3 linked regions of the Macaca fascicularis genome follow. The protein of the gene in region 1 purifies or fractionates together with the protein of each later gene. This does not show direct contact. Links are inferred from orthologs where the notes say so. Each region holds a gene or a part of one and is shown in the gene's direction. Other genes may lie near its edges. The genes, in order: CCT6A, TLE2 and tubulin alpha-1C chain.

Evidence for each region.
Region 2: the proteins of CCT6A (region 1) and TLE2 purify together in Homo sapiens (affinity purification with mass spectrometry; 3 studies listed by BioGRID and IntAct, with this or other methods). This does not show direct contact. The link is inferred for Macaca fascicularis from reciprocal best matches to the Homo sapiens genes CCT6A and TLE2.
Region 3: the proteins of CCT6A (region 1) and tubulin alpha-1C chain purify together in Homo sapiens (affinity purification with mass spectrometry; 3 studies listed by BioGRID and IntAct, with this or other methods). This does not show direct contact. The link is inferred for Macaca fascicularis from reciprocal best matches to the Homo sapiens genes CCT6A and TUBA1C.

What each region holds. Positions count from the first base shown.
Region 1 is NC_088377.1:74,153,691-74,157,337, forward strand, and holds part of CCT6A (T-complex protein 1 subunit zeta), read left to right. Parts: intron 1-127; coding exon 128-287; intron 288-385; coding exon 386-468; intron 469-1,314; coding exon 1,315-1,411; intron 1,412-1,989; coding exon 1,990-2,137; intron 2,138-2,190; exon of another isoform or gene 2,191-2,325; intron 2,326-2,534; coding exon 2,535-2,668; intron 2,669-3,493; coding exon 3,494-3,596; intron 3,597-3,647. UniProt on the Homo sapiens protein: Component of the chaperonin-containing T-complex (TRiC), a molecular chaperone complex that assists the folding of actin, tubulin and other proteins upon ATP hydrolysis.
Region 2 is NC_088393.1:3,729,594-3,733,954, reverse strand, and holds the start of TLE2 (transducin-like enhancer protein 2), read left to right. Parts: upstream 1-1,416; 5' UTR 1,417-1,544; intron 1,545-1,812; exon of another isoform or gene 1,813-2,143; 5' UTR 2,144-2,180; coding exon 2,181-2,204; intron 2,205-2,281; coding exon 2,282-2,379; intron 2,380-2,693; coding exon 2,694-2,757; intron 2,758-3,207; coding exon 3,208-3,252; intron 3,253-4,361.
Region 3 is NC_088385.1:56,088,197-56,091,084, forward strand, and holds part of tubulin alpha-1C chain, read left to right. Parts: intron 1-1,506; coding exon 1,507-1,729; intron 1,730-1,859; coding exon 1,860-2,008; intron 2,009-2,888. UniProt on the Homo sapiens protein: Tubulin is the major constituent of microtubules, a cylinder consisting of laterally associated linear protofilaments composed of alpha- and beta-tubulin heterodimers.

The sequences.
Region 1 (3,647 bases):
CTGAAGATGTATAAGGGACAGGATTCGAGCTTAGTGAACTGTTAAATCTTAGGACTAAACCAGTTTCAGAAGCTACTTTCTTAGAATGTTTCCCTGTTTTCTGTAACCTTTTTTTTTTTCTTAATAGAGAAGTGAGTTCTGGCTTTTTTTACAAAAGTGCAGAAGAGAGAGAAAAACTCGTAAAAGCTGAAAGAAAATTCATTGAAGATAAAGTTAAAAAAATAATAGAACTGAAAAGGAAAGTCTGTGGTGATTCAGATAAAGGATTTGTTGTTATTAATCAAAAGGTGAGAATGAAAACCCAATGTATAAACTAAATAGTATGTATCATCCTTTTTGCTTTTAAGGTGAAAGATGTTGAAATTAATTTTTATTTTTGTTATAGGGAATTGACCCCTTTTCCTTAGATGCTCTTTCAAAAGAAGGCATAGTCGCTCTGCGCAGAGCTAAAAGGAGAAATATGGAGAGGTATCCGAGTAATTTGACTTTTACTCATTTTGCAAGTGAATTAGGATTATTTTTCCTTACAATTTATTTTCGGGTTTTTCAACTGTACAATGAATTGTCGTTAACTATATTCACATTGTGCACCCCGTCAGCACTGTCCATCTCTAGGACTTTCTTCATCATCACAAACTGAAACTGTATACCCATTAAATAATTACTCCCCATTTCTCCCTCCCCCTTGCCCCTTGTAAACATTATTTTACTTTTTGTCTCTGAATTCAGTATACTTTTTCCCAAAGAGCTCACCACAATAAGAAGCTTTTAAAAAATTTTTTTTATTTTATTGTTATTTTTTGAGACAGTCTTTCCGTGCTGTGCAATGGCATGATCTTGGTTCATTGCAACTTCCACTTCCTGGGTTCATAGGATTCTCAGCCTCCCGAGTAGCTGGGATTACAGGTGTCTGCCACCATGCTCACTGAATTGTTTTGTGTTTTTTTAGTAGAGATGGGATTTTGCTGTGTTAGCTAGGCTGTTCTCAAACTCCTGGCCTCAAGTGATCCGCCCACCTCAACCTCCCGAAGTGTTGGGATTACAGGTGTGAGCTACCATGCCTGGCTAATAAAGAGCTCTTGTCCACCTTTAGATTTCATTTGCTGACTTGGGGAGAGTGGTTTAAATGGAGGGTTAAGAGAAAATGCTAGTTTTCAGCTGGTTGATGGCAAATGGAAAGGCTTAGATTAAAGTACATTTTAAAATGTAATTTTGTGTGTAATTCTGGAAGATTCCTTCCTAAAAATTACTGGTCTTGTCTTTGAAATTCACTGGTAACATTGCTTATCCATCTCCCTTAAAATGCTATTTCAGGCTGACTCTTGCTTGTGGTGGGGTAGCCCTGAATTCTTTTGACGACCTAAGTCCTGACTGCTTGGGCCATGCAGGACTTGTGTATGAGTATACATTGGTAAGTGTATTTTCTTCTTCAAGGTAATAGAACCTTTTAGCTCATGAATTATTTTTGTTTGTGTGAGATGGGGTCTCACTCCTGCCCGGGCTGGAGTGCAGTGATGTGGTAACAGTTCACTGCAGCCTCATCTTCCTGGGTTCAAGTGATCCTCCCTCCTCAGGCTCCTGAGCAAATGGACCACAGACATGTGTGCTACCATGCCTGGCTAAATTTTTTTTTTTTTTTGGTAGTTTTTGTAGAAATAAGTTCATACTGTGTTGCCCAGGCTGGTCTTAAACTCCCGGGCTCAGGCTGTCCTTCACCCTCAGCCTCCCAAAGTGCTGAGATTACAGGCATGAGCCACTGTGTTCATGAAGTCTTGAGCAGAAAAATTAATTGAAATTCAGGATCAGATTTTTGTTTGGGGAAAATCCCATTTCTTTTATATGTGATTTTTCAAAAGGAGATAATTTGCTTTAATGTGATCAAGTTTATTCCTTATTAATATGCTGCTTGTCATTCTCTGTAAGTCCCTCTTCTGTCTTCACTCTCTGCACAAATCCTGTTTTTGAAAATCATATTTTTTCTACACATAGGGAGAAGAGAAGTTCACCTTTATTGAGAAATGTAACAACCCTCGTTCTGTCACATTATTGATCAAAGGACCAAACAAGCACACACTCACTCAGATCAAAGATGCAGTGAGGGATGGCTTGAGGGCTGTCAAAAATGCTATTGATGATGGTAAGATCCTCACTGTATTTCAATTCTATTATATTGTTTTGCTGGTCTGAAAGGCATGGCCGAATACTGTGTTCTTTTATCAGTAGTTTACACAGCCAGACACCATGCAAAAGCAGTCTTCCCTTTAGAATGACCAATGGTATGCTAAGGTTTTTCATAGCATATCATTATTAAAGGTGAATACAGATAAATGAAATAATACTGATCTGTTGAAAGAGCTGCCAGCGGCTAGTGAAGCCATTCTGTTGAAACATTCTCCTATTTGATATGTTAGTCGCTTGTATTTTGTCTTAGTAAATCTGTAAGAAATTAATGGCTTTCATATGTGTATTTTAGTTGTTGTTCATAATTAGTTCTGCAGTTTTCTTAGCATTTTTCCTTTTCCCCCATTCAACAGGCTGTGTGGTTCCAGGTGCTGGTGCTGTGGAAGTGGCAATGGCAGAAGCCCTGATTAAATATAAGCCCAGTGTAAAGGGCAGGGCACAGCTTGGAGTCCAAGCATTTGCTGATGCGTTGCTCATTATTCCCAAGGTGTGCACGCTTTTAACAGTCAATCTTCTAAAAGATTTAGCTGATCAAACCTTTTTGATAATGTAGGCTTTATTCATAATGTGGATTTTGGATAAGCCAAGTTTGATCAGTTTTCTTCCTGACTCTAGAACAGGTATTCCTCATCATCCAAATGTATTTGGTTTCTCTGGGAGGCCTGAATAACTGACGTTTCAGATAACAAGAGATAACCTGTAGTTTAATATTTGCAGTATTAGGGGTTATACTTGAGTACAAACTTGCTTTTTGCTTTTGTTTTAAACTGATACTATTTTCTATTATATACTAATTTTGAGGTATAATTTATGACTGGTATATTGCTGCTGGGTTTGAGGTAGATGAGAGAATTGATCAGTAACTTGTGTCTGGTTATTCTCTGAAGGAAGCATAAATGTTCTGTCTTCATGCAATGAGATTTTTTTGTTTGTTTGTTTTTTTGAGACGGAGTTTTGCTCTTATTGCCCAGGCTGGAGTGCAGTGGTGCGATCTCGGCTCACTGCAGCCTCAGCCTCTCAAGTAGCTGGGATTACAGGCACTTGCCACCACACCCAGCTAGGTTTTTGTGGGGTTTTTTTTTTTTTTTTTTTTTTTGTATTTTTAGTAGAGATGGGGTTCCACCATGTTGGCCAGGCTGGTCTCAAACTCCCGACTTCAGGTGATCCACCTGCCATGGCCTCCCAAAGTGCTGGGATTACAGGCATGAGCTACTGCACCAAGCTGAGATTTTCTTTTTCTTTTTTTTCTTATCTTTTTTTTTTTTTAAACAGTTATTCCTGTTTTCTCAAGAATTAAATTTGTTTACTTTAGGTTCTTGCTCAGAACTCTGGTTTTGACCTTCAGGAAACATTAGTTAAAATTCAAGCAGAACATTCAGAATCAGGTCAGCTTGTGGGTGTGGACCTGAACACAGGTAAGAGAATGCAACTGTTGTAGAGGGAAAACTAGATGTAATACATGTGAG
Region 2 (4,361 bases), on another chromosome or scaffold:
CTCAGAGAGGGCAGGGATCTGTCTCCTTTATCCACCCTTAAAATCCCAGTGCCTGGAAGGATGCCTGGCACGTCGTAGGTGCTCCGTAAATATCTGTGGGCTGGAAAACGATGGCTTTAAATTTGATAAGGGCTTTTTTTTTTTTTTTTTTTGAGACAAGGTCGTGTTCTGTCACCCAGGCTGGAGTGCAGTGACGTGATCTCTACTCATCGCAGCCTCGACCTCCTGGGGCTCAGGTATCTCCCGCCTCAGCCCCCCAACTAGCTGGGACCACAGGTGTGCACCACCATGCCTGGCTAATTATTTTTTCATTTTTTTGGTAGAGATACAAAAAATGCAAACATTTATTTTGTATTGTCGCTGCGTTGTCCACACTGGTCTTGAACTCCTGGGCTCACACGATCCTCCCTCCTCAGCTTCCCAAAGTGCTGGGGCTACAGGCATGACCCACCACTCCTGGCCCATTGACCTGGCCCATTGATAAGGCTCTTGTGCCCATTACAAAATGGGTTTTTGTAACCCTAACCCTTAGGTACCTTAGGTATTCGTTCATCTAAGGGCACAGGTCCAAGCATGATCAAGGGGCATGGATTTTTCTCTGTTCTGTTTCCAGCTGTGCCCCAGTGTCTACTGCAGTGTGTGGTCCACAGTATGCACTCAGTACATGTTTGTTGATTGACTTAACGAACCTCTCCTGAGGTTTCTCCAGAGAGAATAAGAGCTTCCCACTCCCCAGGTGGGCCTGAAGGATGCTGGCTGGATGTCTGTGGTTTCTGGTCGGGGCTGGAGCCTTTGCCCTGGGTGAGACTTGAGTCTGATGGCAGAGCTGTGGTTCTTCCAGTTCTAAGTGGGACATGGCCCCTGCCTTCAAGAAACCCAGTGTGAGAAGGGAGACAGCGCAGTCCACTGGTGATGGCAGTAGGAATACAATTCCTATCTGTGGAAGTTTGCTCTGTGTAGGGAAATGCTGAGGGCGTTCATGCACCATTTCATTTAAGTGTAGTACCTAGTGCCGTGGCTCCCGCCTGTAATCCCAGCACTTTGGAAGGCGGAAGAGAGAGGAATGAGTCCAGGAGTTCAAGACCAGCCTGGGCAACATAGTGAGACGCTCCTGGTCATCTCTGCAAAAAATTGTAAAATTAGCTGGGCATGGTGGTGCACACCTGTAGTCCCAGCTACTCGAGAAGCTGAGGGGGAAGGATCGCTTGAGCCCAGGAGTTCGAGGCTGCGGTGAGCCATGATCGCCCCACTGTACTCCAGCCTGGGCAACATAGTGAGACCCTGTCTCTGCAAAAAATTAAACACTAAAGATCGCGCACCATCCCTGACCTTTTGCAGAGACTACTGAGGCCCCCAGAGGGTGAGGGCCCCGCCTGATCTGGGAAGCAGTGTTTGCTGTGAGATTCCCTTCCTGGCAGGGCTTCCTGCGAGCGCTTGGCAAGGCTGCGTCGTCCTGACCCTTCCATCTCAGCCCAATGTCACTTGCTCAGAAAAGCTATTTCCGACTCCAGAGGGGCCCCCGCCCTCCGCAAGCCCCCCCAACGGTGGGTAACACCATGTGAATTTCTTCACTGGTGTTTCTCCTCCCGCCCCTCCGGGAGGGGGTGGGGACCCCGTTTTGCGGCACTGGGCGCCTCCCCACTCGGCCTCAGTTTCCCCACAGGCCCAGGGACTGAAGGAAGGGGGCGGGTGCCCGGGGACCCGGACGCGCGGGCGCAGGGAGGGGCGGCGCGCGCGGGGGTGGGCGCGGGGCGGGCCGCGGGTGCGTGGGGGCGGCCGCGCCACCTTAAGGCGGCTCAGCCTGCGGCTCCCGGCCGAGCCCCGCCGGAGGGAGGCGGCTCCGCGCGGGGCCCGCCGCCCGCGCCGCCGCCGCCGAAACCCGGCCGCGGCGCGCCCGACCTTCTGCGCCGGCTGCCGCGGCCGCCCTCGCCGCGCCCCCGCCCCGTCCGCTGCTCCCGCCCGCCCCGCGCGCCCCGGCCCGGGGAGGGGCTCCCACGACCCCGGGCGCGCGCGCTTGGGGGCGCGCCAGGGACTCCAGGGTCCCTTGCCCCGCGCCGCCTCTCCCTCCTCCCTCTTTCTTCGGGCAGCCTCCCCCCCACCCCACTTCAGCCTCCCCCACTCTTGCCGCCTCCATATCATCAAGCTCTGGTGGCGCTTGGAGGGCTTCCGGGATCGGCAGGATGTACCCCCAGGGAAGGCACCCGGTGAGTGGGGGCTGCGGAGAGGGGGTCCCCGGTGTCCTGGAACTCAGACCCTGACGTCCCTCCCCAAACCCCCCCAGACCCCGCTCCAGTCCGGCCAGCCCTTCAAGTTCTCTATCTTGGAGATCTGCGACCGCATCAAAGAAGAATTCCAGTTTCTCCAGGCTCAGTACCACAGGTGAGGGGGGGCCGCCCCAGGGGCCGCGGGAGTTCACCTGGGCGCCGGGGCGGGGCGGGGCCTCCGGGGAGCAGGGCGGGGAGGAGGGGCTCCCAGGGCGCGGGAAAGGCCTCCAGGTGAAAGCGCAGGTGCAGAGGGGTCTGGGGACAGTCAGAGCTGGGGCATTGGGAGCCCAGGAAGGGGCGGGGAGGGACTGGGACAGGAGGTGCTGGGAGGTCTGTAAGGAAGTCGGGAGGGGGAGATCCAGCCCCTCACTTTGGAAGCCGGCCCACATGGGGCGGTTGGGAGCCCCTTGCCCTCTCTCTCCTTCCCAGCCTCAAGCTAGAATGTGAGAAGCTGGCCAGTGAGAAGACGGAAATGCAGCGACATTATGTCATGGTGAGGGCACTTATGATGCCAGGGTGCGGGGAGAGGCGGGCAGGGCTTTGAGCCACGGTGGACTCTGGGGTAGGTCCCTGCCCTTCTCCGAGCCTCGTCTTTCCTGTCTGTACATTGGGCGGCTTTGGGATTTCAGGGTCTCTCTCTCGGAGGGTCCACCCAGCTCTGGGAACAGGGAGACAGGGAGGACCTCTCGCCTGGTGGGGCCAGGGCCTCTGGACGCTTCCTACCTGCCCTGCCTGTCTGGGGAGAGTAGAGGGGGCCCTTCCAGGCAGAACCCCGGCTTTCTCCTCTGGGCTTCTCTTCTGAGACCCCGTGGAGCTGGGGGTGCTCTGCGTCCTGCTGTGATCCCCCGAACCTGGGGGGCTCTTGGAAGACCCTGGCATCACCTGACTGGAGGAGGGCACCCATCTCCACTGCAGAGGTTCTTACTTGGTTTTTCCTTTTCAGTATTATGAGATGTCTTATGGTCTCAACATTGAAATGCATAAGCAGGTAACTGGGTTGGTGTTAAGCGTGTTCAGGAGGGAGGATGGGGGTCTGGAAGCCCTGGGAGGGACCCAGTATGGGCAGCCGGGGCCAGAGCAGACCTAGGGAACACGGGTCTCATCCTGAAATCTCCTCAGAGGTCACAGAGGGCCTATCTGGGACCAGGAAGGCAAATTTCAGCCTCATGGAAGGAAAATGAGTCCCAACTTCTGAAGACAGTAGCCAGCAGTTGAAGCGTCCAGCAGAGAGGCAGGCAGCGGGCAGGGGCCACCAGGCATCCCCATCAAGGAGGGCACATAGCAGAGGCAGGGCAGCCAGGCCAGGGAGGCTGTGGAGGTGACTTCTGTCCCGGGAGGGGGCTGGATGAACACTCTTCGAGGTCCTTTTCAGCCCAGAGAGTCTGAAGTTTTGAGATGGACTCCAGGTTCTGTTCCTGCTTTGAAGCTTCTGAGATTGGTCTCAGTGTGATTGGCTAAGGTTCCGAGATTGTTCTCCAGGCCCTGAATTTGATGCCATGGTTCAGACTGTGACCCCACTTTTCCAAGACAGACCTCAAAACTCTGTGGCTATCTTCAGGGCTTTGAGACTGACCCCAGTGCCATAAGGCTCTGAGCCTCTTCCAGAGCTTCTCAGTGTGATCCAAGGTTCTGAGGTAGACCTCAAGGTTCTGAGATAGACCTCAAGGTTCTGAGATTGACCTCAGGGTTCTGAGATAGACTCAAATTTCTGAAATTGACCTGAGGGTTCTGAGATAGACCTCAAGATTCAGAGATTGACCTCAAGGTTCAGAGATAGACCTCAAGGTTCTGAGATAGACCTAGGGTTCTGAGATTGACCTCAGGGTTCTGAGATGGACTCAAATTTCTGAAATTGACTTCGGGTTCTGAGATGGACCTCAGGGTTCAGAGATAGACCTCAAGGTTCAGAGATTGACCTCAATGTTCAGAGATAGACCTCAGGGTTCTGAGATAGAACTCAAGGTTCTGAGATAGACCTAGGGTTCTGAGATTGACCTCAGGGTTCAGAGATTGACCTCAATGTTCAGAGATAGACCTCAGGGTTCTGAGATAGAACTCAAGGTTCTGAGATAGACCTAGGGTTCTGAGATTGACCTC
Region 3 (2,888 bases), on another chromosome or scaffold:
TTTCCCAGGCTGAAGTGCAGTGGTGAGATCTCTGCAGTCGCCGCCTCCTGGGTTTGGGTTCAGGTGATTCTCATGCCTCAGCTTACCCCAAGTAGCTGGGACCTATAGGCGCACACCACCGTGCCTGGATAATTCTCGTATTTTTTCTTTTTTTTTTTTTTGGAGACGGAGTCTTGCTCTGTCGCCCAGGCTGGAGTGCAGTGGCTGGATCTCAGCTCACTGCAAGCTCTGCCTCCCGGGTTCACGCCATTCTCCTGCCTCAGCCTCCCGAGTGGCTGGGACTACAGGCGCCCGCCACCACGCCCGGCTAGTTTTTCGTATTTTAGTAGAGATGGGGTTTCACCGTGTTAGCCAGGATGGTCTCGATCTCCTGACCTGGTGATCCGCCCGTCTCGGCCTCCCAAAGTGCTGGGATTACAGGCTTGAGCCACCGCGCCCGGCTAATTCCCGTATTTTTAGTAGAGACGGGGTTTCAGCATGTGGCCAGGCTGGTCTTGAACTCCTGACCTCAGGTGATCCGCCCACCTTGGCCTCCCAAAGTGCTGGGATTACTGGTGTAAGCCAGCACCTGGCCAGAAACAACTGATTTCTTAACCTATCAGTAAAGTCTTGGTAACATTTCTAGCCTTTATTATTATGGTCTTCCCTCTCCCGGAGATGTTTTGATGGTGAAGGAAAAATGTTCTTCCTAACAGATTCTTCTGCATGGTTAAAAAGCTGCCTCTGACCACAGTTTTTAAAATACAGCTAACTGCTGCTTATCCAGCATTTTCTTCATGAGTCATATGGCTGTAGTTTGCTGGTTTAAGCTGGTTTTAAAGGAGGGAGGCAGAAGCTTTTGTCTCCCAAAGAATAGGATTAAAGCAGGACCAGAATGAGCTCAGTAGTTACACAATCATTCAGAGAATGAATCAGAGCTGGAAAGGGGAATTTTGCCTTAGTTTAAGGAATCATATCTACTGTGGCTACAAAGCAACGGTCTGGTCTTGCCGAGTAGTTCATGAACATATCTTTGGTTTTCCAAGGCATTTTTGCTGAATTAGGTCTTCAAAAATTTTTACTTTTGAAAGTAGTCCCTGAGCAGGAGTGGCCTGCTGAAAAATGGTTATCTTTTTTTGTTTGAGATGGAATCTCTGTCACTCAGGCTGGAGGGCAGTGGTGTGATCTCAGCTCATTGCAGCCTCCACCTCCTGGGTTCAAGTGATTCTCCTGCCTCAGTCTCCCAAGTAGCTGGGACTTACAGGTGTGTGCCACTATGCCCGGCTAATTTTTTTTTTGTATTTTTAGTAGAGACACAGTTTTGCCATGTTGGCCAGGCAGGTCTCGAACTCCTGACCTCAGGTGATCACCTGCCTCAGCCTCCCAAAGTACTGGGATTACAGGCGTGAGTCACTGCGCCCAGCCAGTTATCTGTCTTGAAGGTTAATCAGTCATTAGGTGTGAATCATTCCTAAATGTCCCATCTGATGTATCATATCCTGACATTTTCCTTTCTTCCTCCCACAGCGTGAGTGCATCTCCATCCATGTTGGCCAGGCTGGTGTCCAGATTGGCAATGCCTGCTGGGAGCTCTACTGCCTGGAACATGGCATCCAGCCTGATGGCCAGATGCCAAGTGACAAGACCATTGGGGGAGGAGATGATTCCTTCAACACCTTCTTCAGTGAGACGGGCGCTGGCAAGCATGTGCCCCGGGCCGTGTTTGTAGACCTAGAACCTACTGTCATTGGTGAGTTGACCTCAGTAACCGAAGTGAGATCCCAGGGTGCTGGGACAGGAGGTCTGTCCTGGGGGCTCCGCTAGTCACCCACTCACCCACTCTTTCCTTCTCCCCTGCTCCTCACCGTCATCTTCTCCAGATGAAGTTCGCACTGGCACCTACCGTCAGCTCTTCCACCCTGAGCAACTCATCACAGGCAAGGAAGATGCTGCCAATAACTATGCCCGAGGGCACTACACCATTGGCAAGGAGATCATTGACCTCGTGTTGGACCGAATTCGCAAGCTGGTAAATAAAGTGGGGCAAGAGTTTCTTTTGTGGTTCTGAGACCAAACTACAAAAATCATTCTTTGCAACTGAAATGAGACTATTGGCATTGCAACTAAAATGCGACTGCTCACTAAATTAATTGGATCTCTGAACCAGATGGTCTTGGGTTTATGGGATAACTATGGGGTAGGAGGAAGTGCTCATTAGCCTATTTTGATTCAAGCTGAGACACCCCTTTTGAGGTCATCTTAGTCACACTGAGTGAGTAGGTGGCTGACTTCTATATACAACTAATTGATTAAAGTCACTTAAAAAATCTGGACTGGTTCCTTCATGTCAATAAAGTTCAGAGAACAAGAAGCCAGTGTCACACTGACAAGAAACAGCCAACAGTGGAAACTTCCAGTACAGCTGAAAGTGGAGTCGGGAGCTTCCTTATGAAGTGTGCTGTTTGGATCACTTTAAGAGCCTGGCAATCAGATGACTCTTTGCTCCTTAGGCATGTGGGCAGCTTGTAAGTAATTAACCAGAGATCAAGCATGATGGCCTGGGCAGAGTAACTTGTCAAGAAAATCACATTGTATTAAGCCCAGCCATGACTGCTCCATTCTAAAAAAAAGAATGGCCTCATCATTCATGGCTTCATACTTTCCTCAAATGTTTACGTAGTCTTCCCAGAAAAACTGGACTGATGTTTCCTATGCTTAAAAACTAAGCTTTAGTTACAAGCACTGACTTGGAAATCAGGACCTGCCTTTAGGGACAAATAAACCTAGTAGCTAGTTAGGGTTCTGGAGTGAGGTTTATTGCCTGCCAAAATAATTGCATTTGTCCTTAGCATTACTGGGTTCACAGGAGGCTTAATGGGTGTAATTGGTAGGTGAGAGTCTGTCTTGTG